2 linked regions of the Callithrix jacchus genome follow. The protein of the gene in region 1 interacts with the protein of each later gene in a pairwise test. Links are inferred from orthologs where the notes say so. Each region holds a gene or a part of one and is shown in the gene's direction. Other genes may lie near its edges.

Evidence for each region.
Region 2: the proteins of TLE5 (region 1) and STX11 interact in binary tests that used the Homo sapiens proteins (3 or more experiments, as listed by UniProt). The two-hybrid records come from large-scale screens. The link is inferred for Callithrix jacchus from reciprocal best matches to the Homo sapiens genes TLE5 and STX11.

Annotation. Positions count from the first base shown.
Region 1 is NC_133523.1:2,826,000-2,835,429, reverse strand, and holds the end of TLE5 (TLE family member 5), read left to right. Parts: intron 1-1,041; coding exon 1,042-1,105; intron 1,106-2,452; coding exon 2,453-2,497; intron 2,498-3,420; coding exon 3,421-3,483; intron 3,484-5,435; coding exon 5,436-5,510; intron 5,511-5,587; coding exon 5,588-5,809; 3' UTR 5,810-6,722; downstream 6,723-9,430. UniProt on the Homo sapiens protein: Transcriptional corepressor. Acts as a dominant repressor towards other family members. Inhibits NF-kappa-B-regulated gene expression. May be required for the initiation and maintenance of the differentiated state.
Region 2 is NC_133505.1:150,899,878-150,909,862, forward strand, and holds the start of STX11 (syntaxin-11), read left to right. Parts: upstream 1-3,740; 5' UTR 3,741-3,946; intron 3,947-9,985. UniProt on the Homo sapiens protein: SNARE that acts to regulate protein transport between late endosomes and the trans-Golgi network.

The DNA of each region.
Region 1 (9,430 bases):
AGAGATCGAGACCAGCCTGGCCAACATGGAGAAACCCCGTCTCTACTAAAAACACAAAAATTAGCCGAGCGTCGTGGCGAGCGCCTGTAATCCCAGCTCCTCGGGAGGCTGAGGCAGGAGAATCGCTTGAACCCGGGAGACGGAGGCTGCAGTGAGCCGAGATCGCGCCACTGCATCCCAGGCTGGCGACAGAGCGAGATGCTGTCTCAAAAAGAAAAAAAGACAGGAAGGAATAGAGGGAGCTGAGGGGTCTCCCCAGGAAGCTCAGGCCCCCACGAAGCTAGGGTCCCCTTGGGAAGGCCAGCTGGGAGCTGCCTTGCAGCCCTGGACCCTCTCAGCCTCTTTAAGATTTCTATTTGGGTCTGGAAAATTTTCCCCTGTGGTTGAAAGCTTGGGCTGCTTCTTGGCTGTGTGACCTTGAGCCGATTGCTCGCCCTCTCTGGGTGTCCACTGTGTCATCTATAAAAGGAGCGTGACAATGACGCTGCGGGAACATCCGGATCGTGAGAGGTAAAGGCTTGTGAAAGTCTCTGAGGCCGCGATGCCGAGCGCCCTCCGACTTCTGGTGTTTCTATAATGTCCGTTCTTTCTCCTCCACCAGATCTTCAAGGGGGGTTTCATCACCCCCTCCTTACCGTCAGCGGCCCTGGCGCTCTCCCCTCGCCCCCGAATCACAGGGAGCTCAACTTACCCACTTCCCTTCCCCTCAACTCAATGCCCTCAGCCCCACCAAAGCTCCTGGCTCCCTCGGCCAGGCACAGCAGGTGGCTCCCATCTGTAATCCCAAGCACTTCGGGAGGCCGAGGCAGGAGGATCACTCGAGCCCAGGAGTTTTTGAGACCAGTCTGGGCGACATAGGGAGACCCCCATCTCAATTAAAAAATTAAGAGTTGTTGTCTGACCCTCTGAGAACGGGCTGATTGCGCCCTTTCGGGGGGGTCGAGGCATCTTGGAGCCTCAGTTTCCTCCCCTGGATAACAGAGGGTGGGGGGTCCCGCCCATCTGCCACCAACCACCCGGTCTCCCCCTGTGCCTCCTCAGCCTGAAGCTGGAATGTGACAAGTTGGCCAGCGAGAAGTCGGAGATGCAGCGTCACTACGTGATGGTAAAGTCACTCCACCCCCAGGTCCGGTGCTCGGGGCGGGGACAGGGCCTCCCACACCCCACCGCCCCGCCACGGCCAGCTGCTACCTAAACCCGGGCCACCTCCCCTGGGAATCGTGCGGGCTCAGGGCCTGTTCTCCACTCAGCCGGCCCCTGCTGGGCTGAGCCTGCCTCACTAGCCTGGCAGCTGGCCGAGGAGGTGGCTGAGTTGCCAAGCCGCCGGGTTGCAGACCAGGCCTGCCAGGTCCCCCGGCTGTCCTTGGCAGCGGAGGAGGGAGGAGGAGGAGGAGGAGGAGGAGGCTGTGAAAGCCAACAGCCAGGAACTGACGTGGGGGAGCAGCCGAGGCCCTCCCCACTGCCAAGGGCCCCCCACTTAACCCCTTTGGGCCAAGCTGAGAGAGGAAGCCTGTGGGAGGGGGTCTGAGCCCTACTCATTTCAGGGGGCGGGGGGATCGAGGTGTGACACTGCATTACTGCTGCTAGAATCCTTTGCCTTGTGTTGTAACTGCCAGGTGGCAATTTCTGCATCAGAAATCCCCTCCCTGACCCACCCTGGCCTGACCCTCGAGCAGCGATACTAGGGTCTCAGCCCAGGACCCAGATCTCCCAGACTGTTGGGGGAGGCAGAGCCAGACTCTGACCCTGGCAGTCAGAAGGGATGGAGCCAGGGTCAGAGAGAGGGACCTAGGACCTGGATGAGGAAGACTATATGGAGAAGTGGGGCACGCAGCTGGGCTCTTGCAGGATGAGTAGGAGTTTACCAGGCAGAGAAGGAGAAACCGCGTGAAGGCCTGGGAATGAGCTTGGGTTTCTCCCGACGGGTGACGGGGAGCCACGGGAGGGTTTAGAGCAAGGGAGGGGCAGGGTCAGATCTGGGGCTTGGGATGAGGGGAGCTGCTGGCCCCAGAGCCAGAGCCAGTAGGCTCGTTTGCCCTCACTGTTTATACCCAGGCAGGCAAACATCCCGGAGTTGGGGCCCACCCGCAGTCAAGACATAGAAAGATACAAGATTAGGAGCCCTGGAATGCGTGTTCTCTCCATGCACGCGGAGTGGGGGAGGAGCCAGGCCGGGGCGAGGGACCTAGAGGGCCCCCCAGTCTCCATCCGCAGCCCTAGCGGGCCCCCAGCCCCCTCTCCCGGGCAGGCTGGCTGCCATGCTGGGTGTGGGTGTCTCTCTCTCCTGCACTCCCTCCCTCCCACCTGCCTCTCCCTTTCTTCCTGCTCTCAGCTGTCTCTTGCTGTCTCCCCCACTTGGTCTGTCTCTGTCACTCCCCTGTCTCTTTGTCTCCTCACCCCCCCATCCTTCCCCACCCCCATCTCCTGCTCCCTCTCTCTCTCCCCCAAATAGTACTACGAGATGTCCTACGGCTTGAACATAGAGATGCACAAACAGGTACGCCCTCCTCCTCCTCCCCTCCCCCTCCTCCCCCTCCCCCTCCCCTGCTCCTCCTCCTCCCCCTCCCCTCCCCCCCTCCTCCCCCTCATCCCTTCCTCCCCCTCCCCCCTCCTCCTCCCCCCCTCCCCCTCATCCCCTCCTTCCTTCTCCTCCCCCTCCCCCTCATCCCCTCCTTCCCCCTCCTCCCCCTCCCCCTCATCCCCTCCTTCCCCCTCATCCCCTCCTTCCCCCTCCTCGCCCTCCTCCCCTTCCTCCTCTTCTTCCCTCCCCCACCTCCGCCTCCCCCTTCCCCCTCCCTCTCCTCCTCCCCCTCCCCCTACACTCCCTCCCCCTCCTCCTCCCCTCGTCCTCCTCCTCTCTTCCCTCCTCCTCTCCCCTTTCCCTCCTCCCTCCCCCCTCCTCCCTCCCCCCAACCTCGAGCCCCAAGCCCCGACTTAGGCACCCCCAGGCAGGTAGCAGCAGGCCCTCACTGGGCACAAAGCCAGCCCTGTTATCCAGTTACCTCCCAAGCCCTTCCCAAGCTCCCAACCCCGTTTCTTTTTCAGGCCTCCCTGGAAGTTTTTTCTTCCAGGCGGGGAGGGGCACAGCCCTCCCTACATTCCCACAAGTGCTTACTACCTGCCAGGGTCTGGTCCTCTCAGAGTCACCGAGCCCCAGTGTAGTGTGGCCTCCTGCACCTCGCTGCACCCTAAGCTGTAGGGACCGCCAGCCTCGAGGCCCACCTTTGCCACCGGCTGCCCTCGACCCCAACATGGCTTTGCTCATCCCACCCTCTGGCCCACACGAGGGCCAGACCCAGCTCCTCTCAGAGAGAAGCCCCACGTGGCAGGGCCGGGCCGGGCCCTCGTGTGGGCCTCGTCGGGCTGGCCTCTCCCCACCACCCGCCCAGGACTGGAGCCGGCTTCCTCTGTGTGTTCCAGGCGGAGATCGTGAAGAGGCTGAATGGGATTTGTGCCCAGGTCCTGCCTTACCTCTCCCAAGAGGTAAGAGCCAGGGCCCCGGGAGGCGGTGCCGGAGTGGGGGCCTGCACGTGCCCAGCCCCTGCCCCCCTGCAGCCATCTCAGGTGGTGCGCTGGGCACCCCAGGGCACAGGCCTCCCGGCTCTGGACACCAGAGCCAGCCTGTGCAGAAAAATCCCCAGGCCAGGGAAGGGGTGTGGAGGGCGGGCCTCACCCTGCTCTGGAATTCCCAGCTGGAGTGCGTCATGACATAGGTAGGAATGTCGACGGGAACTGCCCCGGGAAGGTTTTCCTTGTATCTTCCTGCTTTCCCTTCTTCAGACATCCTCCAGGCCCTGCGGGCGGCAGAGGACAGAGGACCTGTGGGTGTGATGGCGGGGGGGGGGGGCACGGGCAGCCACACAGGGACACAGCCACGCAGATGGGCGTCAGCACACGGGAGAGACACACACGCAGACAGTACAGACACAGGCACAGGTGCAGCTACACGTGGGCACACGTGATCCCGCGCACACATTAACACTTGCACACACACACCCAGAGGAACCTGACGCCAGCTCCTTTTTTTTTTTTAAAGTAGAGATGGAGTTTCACCATGTTGGCCAGACTGGTCTCGAACTCCTGATCTCGTGATTCTCCTGCCTCGGCCTCCCAAAGTGCTGGGTTACAGGCACACGCCACCACGCCCGGTCTAATTTTTGTATTTTTTTTAGTAGAGACGGGGTTTCACCATGTTGACCGGGATGGTCTCGATCTCTTGACCTTGTGATCCACCCGCCTCGGCCTCCCAAAGTGCTGGGGTTACAGGCGTGAACCACCGCGCCCGGCCTCCTCTTCTCTTTTCTTGGGTTCTGAGGCTCAGGATGTGAGGCGCCCCTCCCCAGGGCCACGTAAGGCCCGTCTCCTGTTCCCTGCTGGGTTTACTGTCAAAAGCCTGTAATATCCTTTTCAATTCCTGCGTGTGTATCTCCGGATCTTTTGGGTGCCCTGCTTTGCCCAGGGACAAGTCTAGAAGGACCCAATGAAAGCCCTCGAGAGGGACAGGCACGGTGGCTCACGCCTGTAATCCCGGCACTTTGGGAGGCCAAAGTGGGCAGATCATGAGGTCAGGAATTCAAGGTCAGGAGTTCGAGACCATCGCCAACAAGGTGAAACCGCGTCTCTACTAAAGATACGAAAAATTAGCTGGGCGTGGTGGCGTGTGCCTGTAATCCCAGCTACTTGGGAGGCTGAGGCAGGAGAATCGTTTGAACCCTGGGAGGTGGAGGTTGCCGTGAGCTGAGATCGCACCACTGCGCTCCAGCCTGGGCGAAAGGGTGAGACTCCATCTCAAAAAAAGAAAAAAGACAGAAAGCCTTAGAGAAAAGGGCATTTGGAGCCCTTCAGAACAGATGCTTCCTGGTAGCCAAGGCGAAAAGGGAGACTGGTAGATTCTAGTAGCATCTGCTGGCCGCAGAGAGTCAGCTGTTTGGGAAGAGCTGGGGAGGGCATTGCCCAGAACCTGGGCCCATTCCCCGGCTGGCCTCCGCCAGAATTCACTGGGCCTTCCCCAGCCATGGAAGGAGAAGGGCTCAACTTGGCCGACGTCAGGGCAGTGTCGGAGCTCTTAGGACCGACGTCCCTGTACAGTTGGGCAGGTTGCGTACTGCACCGAGATTCTCATCTTTCCCGTCTCTGCACGTGAGAGTGGTCGGCATCCAGGGTTTCTCCCGGGCTCGCTCACAGGCCGTTTCCTGACGACTTCGCACACACACTTTTCATGGTTTTCTGGACTTTTCCGTTCGCCTCTGTTGGCCAGCTGAAGATCAGGCTTGGTGAAGGAAGCAGCTGGAGAGGGAGGGCGCTTTCTGATGGGGCTGACAACCACTGGGAGGAGTGGACATGACCACCCGCTTGGTAGTGGGGCTTTTCCCGGCCTCAGCCCCCCCCTCCACCAGGATCAGAGGAATCACTGCCTCCCCCTCCCCCTCTTCCAGCACCAGCAGCAGGTCTTGGGAGCCATCGAGAGGGCTAAGCAGGTCACCGCCCCTGAGCTGAACTCCATCATCCGAGTACGTATGGGACCTGGGCGGGGGGCGGGGCACAGGTGGGCCCCAGGCAGCTAACGCTCCCCCCCCACGCCCTGCAGCAGCAGCTCCAAGCCCACCAGCTGTCCCAGCTGCAGGCCCTGGCCCTGCCCCTCACCCCACTCCCAGTGGGGCTGCAGCCGCCCTCGCTGCCGGCGGTCAGCGCAGGCACCGGCCTCCTCTCACTGTCGGCGCTGGGCTCCCAGGCCCACCTCTCCAAGGAAGACAAGAACGGGCACGACGGTGACACCCACCAGGAGGACGACGGCGAGAAGTCGGATTAGCAGGGGGCCGGGACGGGGAGGGTGGGAGGGGGGACAGAGGGGAGACAGACACCGAGAGAAGGGAATGTGTAGCACAGACACGGCAGAGCTGGGGATTGGCGAGACTCCCGGAGTATTTGTGGTGGCGCCCCAGCTCGGCTTGCAGGCCAGCCCTAGCTTTCTTCCTACCCCGGTCCCGGCCTCCCTCCTCCTCCCCTGCAGCCCGGATAGGTGGGTACCTGCCCCGACACGCGAGGCAAGCTAAGGCCTGGAGGGTCAGATGGGAGCCCAGGTCCCAAGGGAGCACTTGCTGGCCAAGTCCGGCACCGCTGTCACTTCCCCCATTTTGAACACGTGTCACTGACGGTCTGCCCGGGCCCCTCGGGGCACACGCCACAGCGCGCTCACCCTGGTACTGCATGCACGCAATGCTAGCCGCCCCCTTCCCGTCCTGGGCACCCCGAGTCTCCCCCAACCCCGGGCCCCAGATAGGCTCCCACCTCCACCTCCTGCCCCCCCCCCACCACCTCTGCTAGTTCCAGATGCCTCTATGCCCACCTGGTCCTCTCCCGTCACCCACAAAAGAGGGGGCACGGGGAGGGGAGCAAGCTGAGCTTGAGCTGGGAGGAGCAGGGTGAGGGCGAGCGACCCAGGACTCCCCCTCCCCTTCCCAAATAAAGATGAGGGTACTGAAGTTGTCTTGGTTTTTATTTTCTTATGTTTCTTTTTCCGGTATACTAGCTTGTCTCTTAAGAAGGGGATATTACAACAAAAAAAAAGACAAAAATGTTTTTAAAAAAAGCAACACCCGCACCTGTGTCTGTATATAGTCAGCTTATGATGTGTCCTGTCGTTTGGTCTCTGCAGAGAAGTGGAAGTGCTGTATCAAGGGTGGGCTTAGCTGTGCCTTTCAAATAAAGATATGAGAAGGTTCCGTGCTGTGTTCCTGCCTCTGTGTCGTGGGCTGCCCCGGGGTGGGGGGGCCCATCCAGCGTGAGACACCCTCCTAGAACATCGAGAGTTCCCTGGTGAGGCCGGGCACGGGGGCTCACACCTGTAATCCCAGCGCTTTGGGAGGCCAAGGCAGGTGGATCACTTGAGGCCAGGAGTTCAAGACCAGCCTGGCCAACATGGCGAAACCACGTCTCTAGTGAAAATAAAAAAGTAGTCAGGTGTGCTGGCGCCAGAGCCTGAGGCACAAGCATTGCTTTAACTCGGGAGGTTGCAGTGAGCTAAGATAGCACCTCTGTGCTCCGGCCTGGGTGACAGCAAGAACCTCTCTCAAAAAAATTTAAAAAGGCAAATTAAAGGGCGCAGTGACATGCCTGTAATCCCGGCACTTTGGGAGGCTGAAGCAGGAGGATCATGAGGTCAGGAGTTGGAGACCAGCCTGGCCAACATGGTGAAACCCCACGTCTACTAAAAATACCAAATCCAGCCGGGCGTGGTGATGCGCTCCTGTAATCCCAGCCACTTAGGAGGCTGGGGTAGGAGGATCTGGAACGCAGGAGACGGAGGTTGCAGTGAGCCGAGACTGTGCCACTGCACTCCAGCCTGGGGGACAGATTGAGACCCTGTCTCAAAAAAAGAGCTCCTAGGTGGGTCACACTTCTGCATCTGGCCTACGCTGCTTTGATGCCAAGCACAGAGAGGGCAAACTGGAGACTTCAGGTCACACAGCATGACCCAGGTGCTTGATGTTTAGATAGCTGCTCAAGGGGCCCTGAGAAGGCTAAGGGGTCCCTAAGCTAGAAGGTGGGGAGGCTGAGGTGGGAGAATTTCTTGAAGCCAGGAATACAAGGCCAACCTGGGCAACATAGCAAGACCCTATCTCTCTAAAAAAATTAATTCTTGGCCGGGCGCGGTGGCTCAAGCCTGTAACTGTAATCCCAGCACTTTGGGAGGCCGGGGCGGGTGGACCACGAGGGGTCAAGAGATCGAGACCATCCTGATCAACATGGTGAAACCCCGTCTCTACTAAAAATACAAAAATTAGCTGGGCATGGTGGCGCGTGCCTGTGATCCCGGCTACTCGGGAGGCTGAGGCAGGAGAATTGCCTGAACCCAGGAGGCGGAGGTTGCGGTGAGCCGAGATCGCGCCATTGCACTCCAGCCTGGGTAACAAGAGCGAAACTTCGTCTCAAAAAATAACTAAATAAAATTAATTAATTATTTATTTTTTAAAATAGCGACTAAGTGTCAGAGCCGGCTTCGGCACCGGAGACCTGAGGACCTAAATGACGTTCTTTTCCCTTAGAGAAAGAGGAGGCCCCAGTGCCCACACAGGTATACTTCTTTTTGTTTTTTCCTTTGAGACAGGGTCTCGCTCTGTTGCCCAGGCTGGAGTGCAGCGGTGCGATCACAGCTCACTGCGGCCTCAACTTCCCTGAGCTGAAGCGATCTTCCCACCTCAGGCTCAGCCTCCTGAGCTGGAATGGTGGGCGTGCACCATGATAGCCACATACCTTTTGTGTGTGTGTGTGTGTGTGTGTGTGTGTGTGTGTGTGTATATATATATATATATATATATTTTTTTTTTTTTTTGGTAGAAATGGGGTTTCACCATGATAACCAGGTCTCAAACTCCTGGGCTCAAGCAATCCTCCCGCCTTGGCCTCCCAAAGTGCTGGGGTTACAGCCGTGAGCCGCCGCGCCTGGCCAGTATACTCATGGAGAACATTGACTCCCCCGTAGCTGAGCCTCGGAGCAGCTGGAACTGCCTCACCCAAGCTGGACCAGCCCTGGGAAAGCCGGGAGAAGGGATTGCCACCAGTTCTCCTGTCTTGGCCTCGGCCCCTGGCTGCTCTGGGACTTGGGTCAAGGGAACCTCTTGCTGCCCACCCGGTAAATAGAAGATGGCCATTTCCTGGACTCGGTGGCTCACGCCTATAATCCCAGCACTTTGGGAGGCTGAGGCGGGTGGATCATTTGAGGTCAGGAGTTCAAGAGCAGCCTGACCAACAGGGTGAAACCCTGTCTCTACTCAAAATACAAAAATTAGCTGGATGTGGTGGCAGGCACGTAGTCCCAGCTACTCTGGAGGCTGAGGCAGGAGAATTGCTTGAACCCAGAAGGCAGAGGTTGCGGTGAGCTGAGATTGCGCCACTGCATTCCAGCCTGGGCAACAAGAGCAAGACTCTGTCTTAAAAAAAAAAAAAAAAAAAAGGCTGGATGTGGTGGCTCACGCCTGTAATCCAAGCACTTTGGAGGCCAAGACGGGCGGATCACCTGAGGTTGGGAGTTCAAGACCAGCCTGATCAACATGGTGAAACCCCGTCTTTAAAATAAGAAGAAGAAAGAAGGAGAAGAAGGAGAAAGGAGGAGGAGGAGGGGGAGGGGGAGGGGGAGGGGGAGGGGGAGGGGGAGGGGGGAGGGGGAGGAGGAGGAGGAGGAGGAGGCCATTTCTACTTTGCACTTTGCAGGGACTGCATGGCAGGAGCCTCAGGGAACTGACACAGGTGCAGCTGGACAGCAGACCTCGGGGAAAATGTCTCGTGTTCCCAAGTTGCGGGTCGGGAGTGGAGAGGACAGGGCTGGCTGATCATACCAGCCTCCTGGTGGCTCCCACCGCTCCCCCACTGCAGGCAAAGCAAAGTCCTCTAAAAAGGCAGTTGCAAGGGATCATCCCACTAACATTTATCC
Region 2 (9,985 bases), on another chromosome or scaffold:
GCTTCTGGAACATGTTCTCTCTTGGTTTATCTATCTCAGAAATCAGACCTTCTCAATTTCTTTTTTTTTTTTTATTCTTTATCTTCTTAACCTCTGTACTTTGGAGCACGCCAGGACTCAGACTTCAGACATCCCCATTCTGCCTGCACACCATCTATATGCTAAAGACCTCCAGATATACCCCACCATCCCAGACTCACCTAACCAACTGCCTTCGTGACAACTTGACAACTCCAAACTGAAGGAGTCCAAAATGCTACTCTTAATCCCCAGCAATCTTCCCCTTTACTCCCCATCCACAATTTACTTTTTCAGGAAGTCTTCCCCGTGGATTCAAAGGGTAATCTCAGCTGAGCATGGTAGCTGATGCCTGTTAACCCAGAACTTTGGGAGGCGAAGGTGGGAGGATCACTTGAGCTGAGTGTGGTAGTGCATGCCTGCAGTCCCAGCTGCTCAGGGGGCTGAGGCAGGAGGATCACTTGAGCAGGGGAGGTCAAGGCTGCAGGCAGCCATGATCATGCCACTGCATTGCAGCCAGGGCAACAGAGAGACCCTTCCTCAAAAAAAAAATTAAAAATGTCATCAGCAAGCACCCTCACAGATACACCCAGGATAATGTTTTACCAAATAAAATTTGACACGTCAAATTAACCATCACAGCTTCCTAACTCGTTGGCCTGTTTTAATCTGTCCTTTAATCTATCCTCAACAAAATGGTGGACTAAAAAAAACAATGAGCTACATCATTTAGCTTCTCTGCTAAACATTCTTCAGTCTTCCTATCTCAATTAATGTAAAAAAAAATTTCTGAGATAGAGTCTCGCTCTGTCACCAGGCTGGAGTGCAGTGGTGCATCCTCAGCTCACTGCAACCTCTGCCTCCCAGGTTCAAGTGATTCTCCTGCCTCAGCCTCCTGAGTAGATGGGAATACAGGCGTGCACCACTACACCCAGCTAATGTTTGTATTTTTAGTAGAGATGGGGTTTCAGTATGTTGGCCAGGCTGGTCTCAAACTCCTGTCCTTGTGATCTGCCCACCTCAGTATCCCAAAGTGCTGGGATTATAGGCATGAGCCACTGTGCCCAGCCTTCAATGTAAAATTTAAAGACTATCATGACCACCAATGCCATACATGCTTTATTCCCCACTCCTAGCCCCACCGCCATCACTCTTACTGAACTCTGTTTTGCCCACCCTGATATTTCTCCCAGAAGCCAAGCATGCTCCTGCCTTGGGGCCTTTACATCCACTGATCCCTAAGCTTGAAATGATCTTAATCCCAATAGCTGCATTGTTTTCTCCCTCAGTGATTCTCTTATCTTATAGGGCTTTGCAATATACATATTTTAAAAAATATAACACACCTCATCCCTCTTATCTTACTTTCTTTCATAATAAACTGTATTTTTTTTCCTTTTTCTTTTCTTTTTTTTTTTTTTTTTTGAGATGGAGAGTCTTGCTCTGTCACCCAGGCTGGAGTGCAGTAGTGTGATCTTGGCTCACTGCAACCTCTGCCTCCTGGGTTCAAGCAATTCTCTGCCTCAGCCTTTTGAGTAGCTGGGATTACAGGCATCCACTACCACGCTCAGGTAATTTTTTTATATTTTCAGTAGAGATGGGTTTCACCATGTTGGCCAGGCTGGTCTTGTACTCCTGACCTCGTGATCCACTCGCCTCGGCCTCTCAAAGTGCTGGGATTACAGGCATGAGCCACCTCGCCCAGCAAATAAACTGCATCTTTTAGAACAGTTTTAGACTTACAGAAAAATTGCAAAGGTAGTACAGAATTGCCATAAATTCTATTTCAGATTTTCCATGATTAGCATCTTACATTACATTCCTCAAGACTAATCAACCTTGATTCTTATTATTAATGAAAGTCCTTACTTTACTTAGATTTCCTTAGCTTTTCCCCAAGTCCTTTTTCTGTCGCAGGATCTCATCCAGGATACCACATTACATTTAGTTTTCACATCCTCCTTAGCTTCTTTTAGGCTGTGGCAGTTTTTCAGACTTTCCTTATTTTTATTTTTAATTTTTGTAGAGACAGGGTCTTGCTATGTTGGCCAGACCAGGTCTTGAACTCCTGGCCTTAAGCAATCCTCTCGCTTCAGCTTCCCACAGTGCTGGGATTACAGGTGTGAACCACCACGTCTGGACTGTACTTTTCTTACTTTTGATAACCTGACAACTTCGAGGAATATGGTCAGGTATTTTGTAGGATGTCCCACTATTGAAATTAGTTTGGTATTTTTCTCATTATGAGACAGTGGTTATGGGTTTTGGGGAGGAAGACCACAGAGGTAATGGGCCATATTCATCACATTGTATTAACTACATGTCATCAATATAATTCATGATTGTTGACGTTTACTTAGAACATCTGGCTGGCGTAGTGTCTGTCAGCTTTCTCCATTGTAAAGCTACTCTTTTCCCCTTTCCATACTGTACTATTTTGGAGGAAGTCACTGTGCACTGCCTACGGTAGATGATCTACATAAATTATTTGGAATTATTCTGTGTAGGAGATTTGTCTCCTCTCTGCCTTTTATTTATTTATTCAATTATTTATTTATATGAGTGTAGACTCATGGATATTTTTTACTTTGGCTTTTAATCCAATAAGACTTTGTTTAGTTTACTTCGTTGCTCAAATGGTTCCATCTTTGGCAACTGGGAGCTCTTTCAGGTAGTTCTGTGTTTAAACATTCTCCCATCAAGGCAGGATTCGTTTTTTATTTTTATTTTTCCTTCTCATTCTTTTGCCCAGGCTGAAGTGCAGTGGCAGGATCTAGGCTCACTGCATGCTTGACCTCCTGGGCTCAAGTGATCCTCCCACCTTAGCGTCGCGAGTAGCTGGGACCACAGAGGCGCGCCACCATGCTCAGCTAATTTTTGTATTTTTTGTAGAGATGGGCTTTCACCATATTGTTCAGACTGGTCTCAAACTCCTGGGCTCAAGCGATCCTCCCACCTCAGCCTCCCAAAGTGCTAGGTTATGGGCGCGAGTCACCGCGCCTGGCCCGATTTCCCTTTTTGAATCTCACTTACTTTTCAGCCTCACCTTTGTTTTTCAAGGTGCTTACCGCCACCTGGCACAATCCACACTTTGTTTATGTCTCCCCATTAAAGTGCCAGGACCTGGAGGGGGGGTCTTGGCAGTATTTTTGAGAGCGGTGGTACCCTGGGCACACAAGGGGACGCTCAGCTAATATCCAGGGAATGATGAGCCCGTAGGGTCCTGAGGCCGACTGGAGAGGGGTTGGCCGCCGGGTTCTGGGAAGGCGGTGGTCGGCCGCTGTGTGACCGCAGGCTCCTTGCCCGCCTCCTGGAAGGTCCAGGGGGTGCAGGACCTGCTGCAGCCTCGGCAGCCACACCCACGCTCAGAGACCGCTTCCACCGTCCTCGCCGCGGAAACGCACCGGACGGCAAATGTCATCAGCGCAGCGGGGATTCCCGGGGAAAGTCCACCGCGCTCCCTGCCCTAGGAACCGGAGGATGAGCAGAGGAAGTGCCTCTGGCTGCAAACCTCCCACTCCCCGCGAGGGTCCGCTCCGCCCGCGGGAACTCCCCGAGACGTACGGGAGGTGCTGGAGCGCGTCCCCGGCTCCGGGCGGTCCCGAGCGCAGGGACTCCGGGCGGGGCGGGAACCTGCGCTCCGCGAGCCGCCGCGCCCCGGCGCTGTCATCCCGGGGCGGGGCCTTGTCCCCAGCTGTGGTCGCTTCCTAAGCGGCTAGGGCAGAGCCGGCGGCGCCCAGATGCGGCCGCGGCGGGGCGGAGCTCGGGCCGCAGTGAAGGAGCCCAGCCTCTGCCGCAGGGGACGCGGGAGGCGCCGGGAGCCGAGCCGCCGGGAGTCGCGCAACAGGTTTCCTTCCCCAACGCGGCGCCCACGGGGGACGAGCGCCCGGCCGGGATAGGGGCTTCTCGGTTCGAACTCTCGCTCCGGGTACTGGTTTGTTTTTCTGTCCCTGAGCTCCCCATTTCTCTACCTATTCCCGGTGCGCGGAGAGTGCGGGGAGGTGGGCGGGCCGGGGCGGGGACACTGTCTGGGCTCCGGATCCGCGGCGGTGCCTTAGTGGGTTTTGGTGCAGGGCCTCACGCCGCCTCTGGGCACCTTCGAGAACACAGCACTGGGTTTCTCATATAAAGCGGAATGATATTTTTTGAATTACTTTTAATTTCAGAGGCCAAGGGACTGAGAATTTAGCGCTTCATAGGAATTATTTTAGGGATACCCGTTGGTAGGCTGCCTTTATAAAGCGTCCACCTAAGACTACCTTTAAGTTGAAAGGCTGAAGTGTTTCTTTGTTATCACCTCTTCATTTCCTATTAGGGTGACTGTGTCAAAAACACCAGAATGGGTACCTCTTGACTTGAACTTGGCACTGTCACCCAGAAGCCGGGAGAGACGGAGAAATTGATAGAGCCTTGGAGCAGTCCCTTCAAAGCCCACATAAGACTTTGTTTTAGAAAAATGGAGAGGAAGGGTAGTGGCAATCCTGCGAGAACCACTCTGTCCAAGAGGGAATTCTGCCTTTTTCTAGACTCCTCTGACACCAGCTGAGCTCTGTATTACTTCCTGTGGTTCTCACGCACTTGTTTCAGCCGTTTCTCAGCAAAGGGAGGAGTTGTTATTTACGGGTATCCAAAAATGAGTCACACGGCTGCTCTCTTAATTGTGAGACTTTGTTAATGAACTTTTTGAAAAGCGAGGCTTGCTCTGTCTGTATTTAAAATGAGGCTCTAGATGTGAAATGCCTGCCCTGCTAACCTGGGGCAGTGGTATGGGTAGTGATGATTTGAGTTTTCAGTTTCCTAAGGCGCCTGATGTTACAACATGCCAGTAAAGGTCACTGGGCTGATCTAAGATAACCATTAAAATCATGTGCTTTGCCACAGAAGCCCAAGGGAAAATTAATTTCAGTATCTAGTGACCATTTTGTCCTCATTTTCACTGCATGGTAGAAATGTATCATTTAATGTGGTGACTGTAACTCTCTAAAATCAAAATATTTCTAACAATTTGTATTTACTAAATTGATGCTAAAACCACACGACGATTTTTGAAGTGGGTAGGTCCCAGCAGGAGCAGAGAAATTTAAAAGTTGAAACTCACAGGTCCCATTGTAGTGGGTAGCAGCGCTTAGGCAAGGTCTGCACAGGCTCTCAACATGATAGAAAAGGGAGCACCATCTCTACTGGAGCTGAGTTGAGCTGAGTTCAGCCCCAAACAACAGTTACCAGGCACCTTCTCTGTGCCAGCCTCTTCTCTGAACCTTGCTTGTGCAACTAGGAATAAAAGGATCCTGCTGACAAGCTGCTAGGGTAAATCTACACCCAGATGGATGTTTCTGTCCCAATATAACTCAGTAAGCTGGGTCCCAGTGTATTTAAAAATTAAACAGCCAGTTACTACCCCTAGATAATTACAGTCACCTTTAGTTCATAGTGTGACTTTTAGGAAATAGTGTGACTAAATAATAGTTTATTTAAATACACTGGAAAATCCATTATATATGTGCTAGGGTACATCTATGCCCAGAGTGAAGTTTCTGTCCCAATATGACTGATGTTTCTGCAGATCTGGGATTTGGAATGGACTGGGTCATGGCTGGAAAAGCGAGGAAGCTTTTGAGTTGACTCATTTACTTGTCTTTGTAGGCAGCCTATTCTTCATTTGATACATGATTTAAAAAATATGAATTAGAAAGGTATGGTTTTTAAAGCATTTGAATGAACCATATTTCATACTATTTAATAACCATGTGAAACTAAACTCAGCTGATTATCACCCCTGGACAATTGCAGTCACCTTTAGTTAACAGCATGACTTTTAGAAAATAGTATGACTAATTAATAGGTTGTTTTGTTTTGTTTTGTTTTGAGAGAGTCTCACTCTGTTGCCCAGGCTGGAGTGTAGTGGCGCAATCTTGGCTTGCTGGAATCTCCACCTCCCGCATTCAAGCAATTCTCGTCCTTCAGCCTCCCAAGTAGCTGGGACTACCAGCTCCCACCACAACAACCGGCTAGTTTTTGTATTTTTAGTAGAGTCAAGGTTTTGTCCTGTTGGCCCAGCTGGTCTCAAACTCCTGACTGCAGGTGAGCTGCTCACCTTGACCTCCCAAAGCGCTGAGATTGCAGGTGTGAGCCACCATGCCCTGCCTAATAGTTTATAAATTGATAACACTATATTGAGGCAAGTTTCTGATCATTGTTTTTGCAGTTCAAATCAATGTTTTTAGCACGTTATAGCCATATGAGCCCAAATGCATAAACATACTGTATCACAGTTTACTGTTGCAATTGAAATCTGCTGAGAGGCTTTTAGACTTGATGCCCAAGTATCAAGGTTTCCAAGTTTCCCCAGTTTGCTAAGATACCCAACTAGTAAAGGTAACAATGCTAAATTGGAGACAAATTGGCCTTAATTTCCAAACTTTCTTCCTCCTTTGAGACCCCTAAGGTTACTTTTTCTATGAGGAAGAAAGAGTGGAGTATATTATTCAGCATTGTACTCCCTGAATTTGGCCCAGGTTTGACTAATGATAGGTGTAAGAAAGTGATGAATATATTGATTTCATCCATAAATTTTATTGATGATTTATTTATTTCATCATTTGTTGATGAAATATGAACTTTCATATAGGAGGATGAATTTTCAGGCAGGTGGAAGGATAGGTGACCCAGCAGAAGGAACAGCACACATAGAGAAGTGAAACAGCACTGGACGTTCGGGAAACTCCAGCCTGTTTAGTGACAGCACAGAGTAAGGGCTGCGGAGACAGGAAGGGCCAGATCACAAAGGCCCATAAGCCATGTGGGACCTGAGGGTTTATAGTACTGAGTACTGAGGCCTTTGAACAAGTGAATGATACTGTCAGGTATGTGTTTGAAAAAACAATAGCAAAACTTAGAATTTTGTAAATCTTAGATTAGAGGAGAGTGACATTGACCTTAGGGAGACACAGTGGAGACTGTTATAACATTGGAGATGGGACATGAAAGAAAGCCTGAATCGGGCAGTGACAGTGCAGACTGGAAGAGAGGGAAGGAACTGGTAGACGTTTAATAGGTGGAACCCAGTTGGGTGTGTATTTAGAAATGGGCAGTGAGGAGGTGGGAGGAGTTAAGATGACGCCCACATTTCTAATTAATGACTAGGAAAAGAATATCCTCCTCAGTGGAAAATAGGTTTGGGCTAAAGGATGGGGAGAAACTCACACCATACCTGGCACATAATCAGTGCTCATTGAGATTTTTCAAAGGAATGCTAGTCATGGCTAAAATGTATCGCGTGCTTATTATGGGCCAGGTACTATCCTATGCTCACTTATTTGCATTAAGCCTTTTACTCCTCAGTACAATACTGTGAGATAGTTACTCAAATTAACTGCTTTGACTGGAGTTCTGCTGCAGTGTTAGTAACTGACAGAGCCAGAAATGGATCCCAAGCACTTGGTTCCAGAGCTTGCATTCTGAAGCACTCTGCTGTGGTGTGTGTCTTGATGAATGAATCAATGAGATTTTGGACATTGTGGTAAACTCAGGTTGAAGTCACTCTCCTGCCTGTAACAATTCTTCCTTATCCAAGAATGGCCTTGATGCATACAATGGGCCCTCAGTGTCCCTACTGTGCTACATGACATCCCACTCCCCACCACCTTCACTCCAAGAAATACCTGATTCGTCTAGGAGGAAACCTGGAATAATCAAACACTTTTTTATCCTGGGAATTTAAACATTTTAATGGAGACTCAGTGTCTGAAGGTTCCAAATGCTTCAATCATTGTGTCTACAGAGCTGCCTTGGTTACCATCCTTCCTAAACACTGAATACCGAGCTTTTCATATTTCTCAGATGCCCCCAATGTTTTGTCGCTAAGATTTTCCATAGAAGCAGAGAGGCTGGGAGGCGTTAATCTACAGAGCAGGATCCAATGGTGGAAGAATCACTAACAAATGCAGACAGGTACATAACAACTCCAGATCTTACATTCCTAACTTGTGATCTGCCTTCCGAATCCTATTTTGTTCTAGTTTACCCTGAAGAGGTGCCTTACTTACTCTAACTTCCAGAATCTTATTAAGTGAGCCTGGCCCTGCTGTGTCTCCTGTCCTCTTGACTTTAGCTTGGCAAAATGATTCAGGTATCTTGCATTCAGAGCTTGCTTTCTATATGGGGCACCTGGGTAGATTTCTTTGGTCTCAACAGTGGCATTTTGACCAACAACCCTGTCCACCGCTCCCCACCCATCCCCCAAAATGATCCCAACTCTTAACTGTTTTCATTGTTTGATGATTCAACCTACCCTGACTTGGATTAATATCCTGATTTTTGTTCAGCAATCAGGGACTAAGAATTGATCTAGGAAGAAACCTGGAATAATCAGACCTTTTCTCCTGGGAATTTACATTTTAATGGAGACATTCAGAGGTTCCTAGAGCTTAAGCCATTGTGTCCACAAAGCTGCCTTCCTCATCTCTTCCTCAAAGATCTCTACTTTGGACCATGTAAGGTTTAAAACGCCCGATGAATGTTATACCCAAACTGAATCAGCAAACTCACTTATTGGAGCTTTAAAATGTTCAAATGTCCATTTTGGGAGGCTGAGGCAGGAGGCCTGCTTGAGCCTGGGGGCAGTGGCAGGGGTGGGGAGAATGTTCAAATGTGTGAAACTTGGTTTTAAAATATTTTCTCCACACATGAATTAAATGTTTTGCTCATCATTTCTTCAGATTGATTGGGAAATCAGCATATTTATAGTTGCCCAGGAGATGAGAGTGACATGAAGCCTTGCAGGGTGATAGAGCCCATATGTCTACCCCTTGGTCTGGCTTTTAGGTGACTGCCTATGGTTCATTCAGTGCTCAGATCACAGGAACGGGAAGGGTTTGGTTAATATTTCATGTGGGTTTGTCTTGCCTGTCCAATTCAGCTGTGGTTTCCCTGAGAGAGGAGAATAGCTACAGCTGGGGGCTCTGTTATGCCATCTCTAAGGCTCCTCCCAGTTCTAACAACCATTCTGTGACTTTTACTAATAATGAAACCATCTATCAGAGTAAGTCATTTGTTGGCCCCTCCTTCTGAGTTTATGGATGCCAGACATTATTTGTGTATTTCATTCTACTTTTTGTAAGGCTCAGTAATTTGATAATTTTTAGAATGATTTAGTTTTAGAACTGATAATTTTCAGTTACCCTTCTTAAGCTAATTAAATGTGTTTTAAAATTTAATTTGTGTTCTTTTTTTTCTTTTCAGTAGACAGGACATCAAAATAATCCAGAAAATACTACGTCTTCTAGAAAAGTATTTCCCCTTTTGTATGCTTGTTTTATTTGTTTTCCTGTTCAAACACGTAAAGAGATATTCCACTACTCCTTGCATAGCTTACTGGGTAATAATATCAATTTCAGCTTTTCAGAATAGTGCAAATTGCTCTGCTTTTGTCTTCATATGGAAACAGTAGACAAGTAGTTCTGTCTTGGGTTTCAGGTTCAGGATTGCATCTCTTCATGGTTGTTTTTCTAATTTTCTATTATGTACTTAGTTATGTTGATTAGTGACCCAAATCTGTTGATCTGAGATATGTAGGACATAGTGTCTTAGCTAAATTCTGTAATAATACTACATTTCCCACCTCCGCCTCCCCTCTTCCTTGATTACTTCATGGTAAACCAACATGTAATGATGTTTAGCTGATAACATTATTTATTTATTGTTTGTAAATAATAAGGATTGTTGTATGTACTGTCGTATATATGATTTCTGTTAATTCTCATAACAGCCAGGAAGAATGGAAATAATAAGGATTGTTGTTGCTGTCACCATTATCCATATTTTATAGATAAGGAGGGAAACACTTGGAGAGATTAAGGGACCACCCAGGATTGCCCGAGGTTAAGTGCAGAGGCCTGCTACATTATGCCGTCAGGACTTGACTGAAAGGGGCAAGTTCAGTGTCTCAGGTTCCCAGGAAACAGACCCT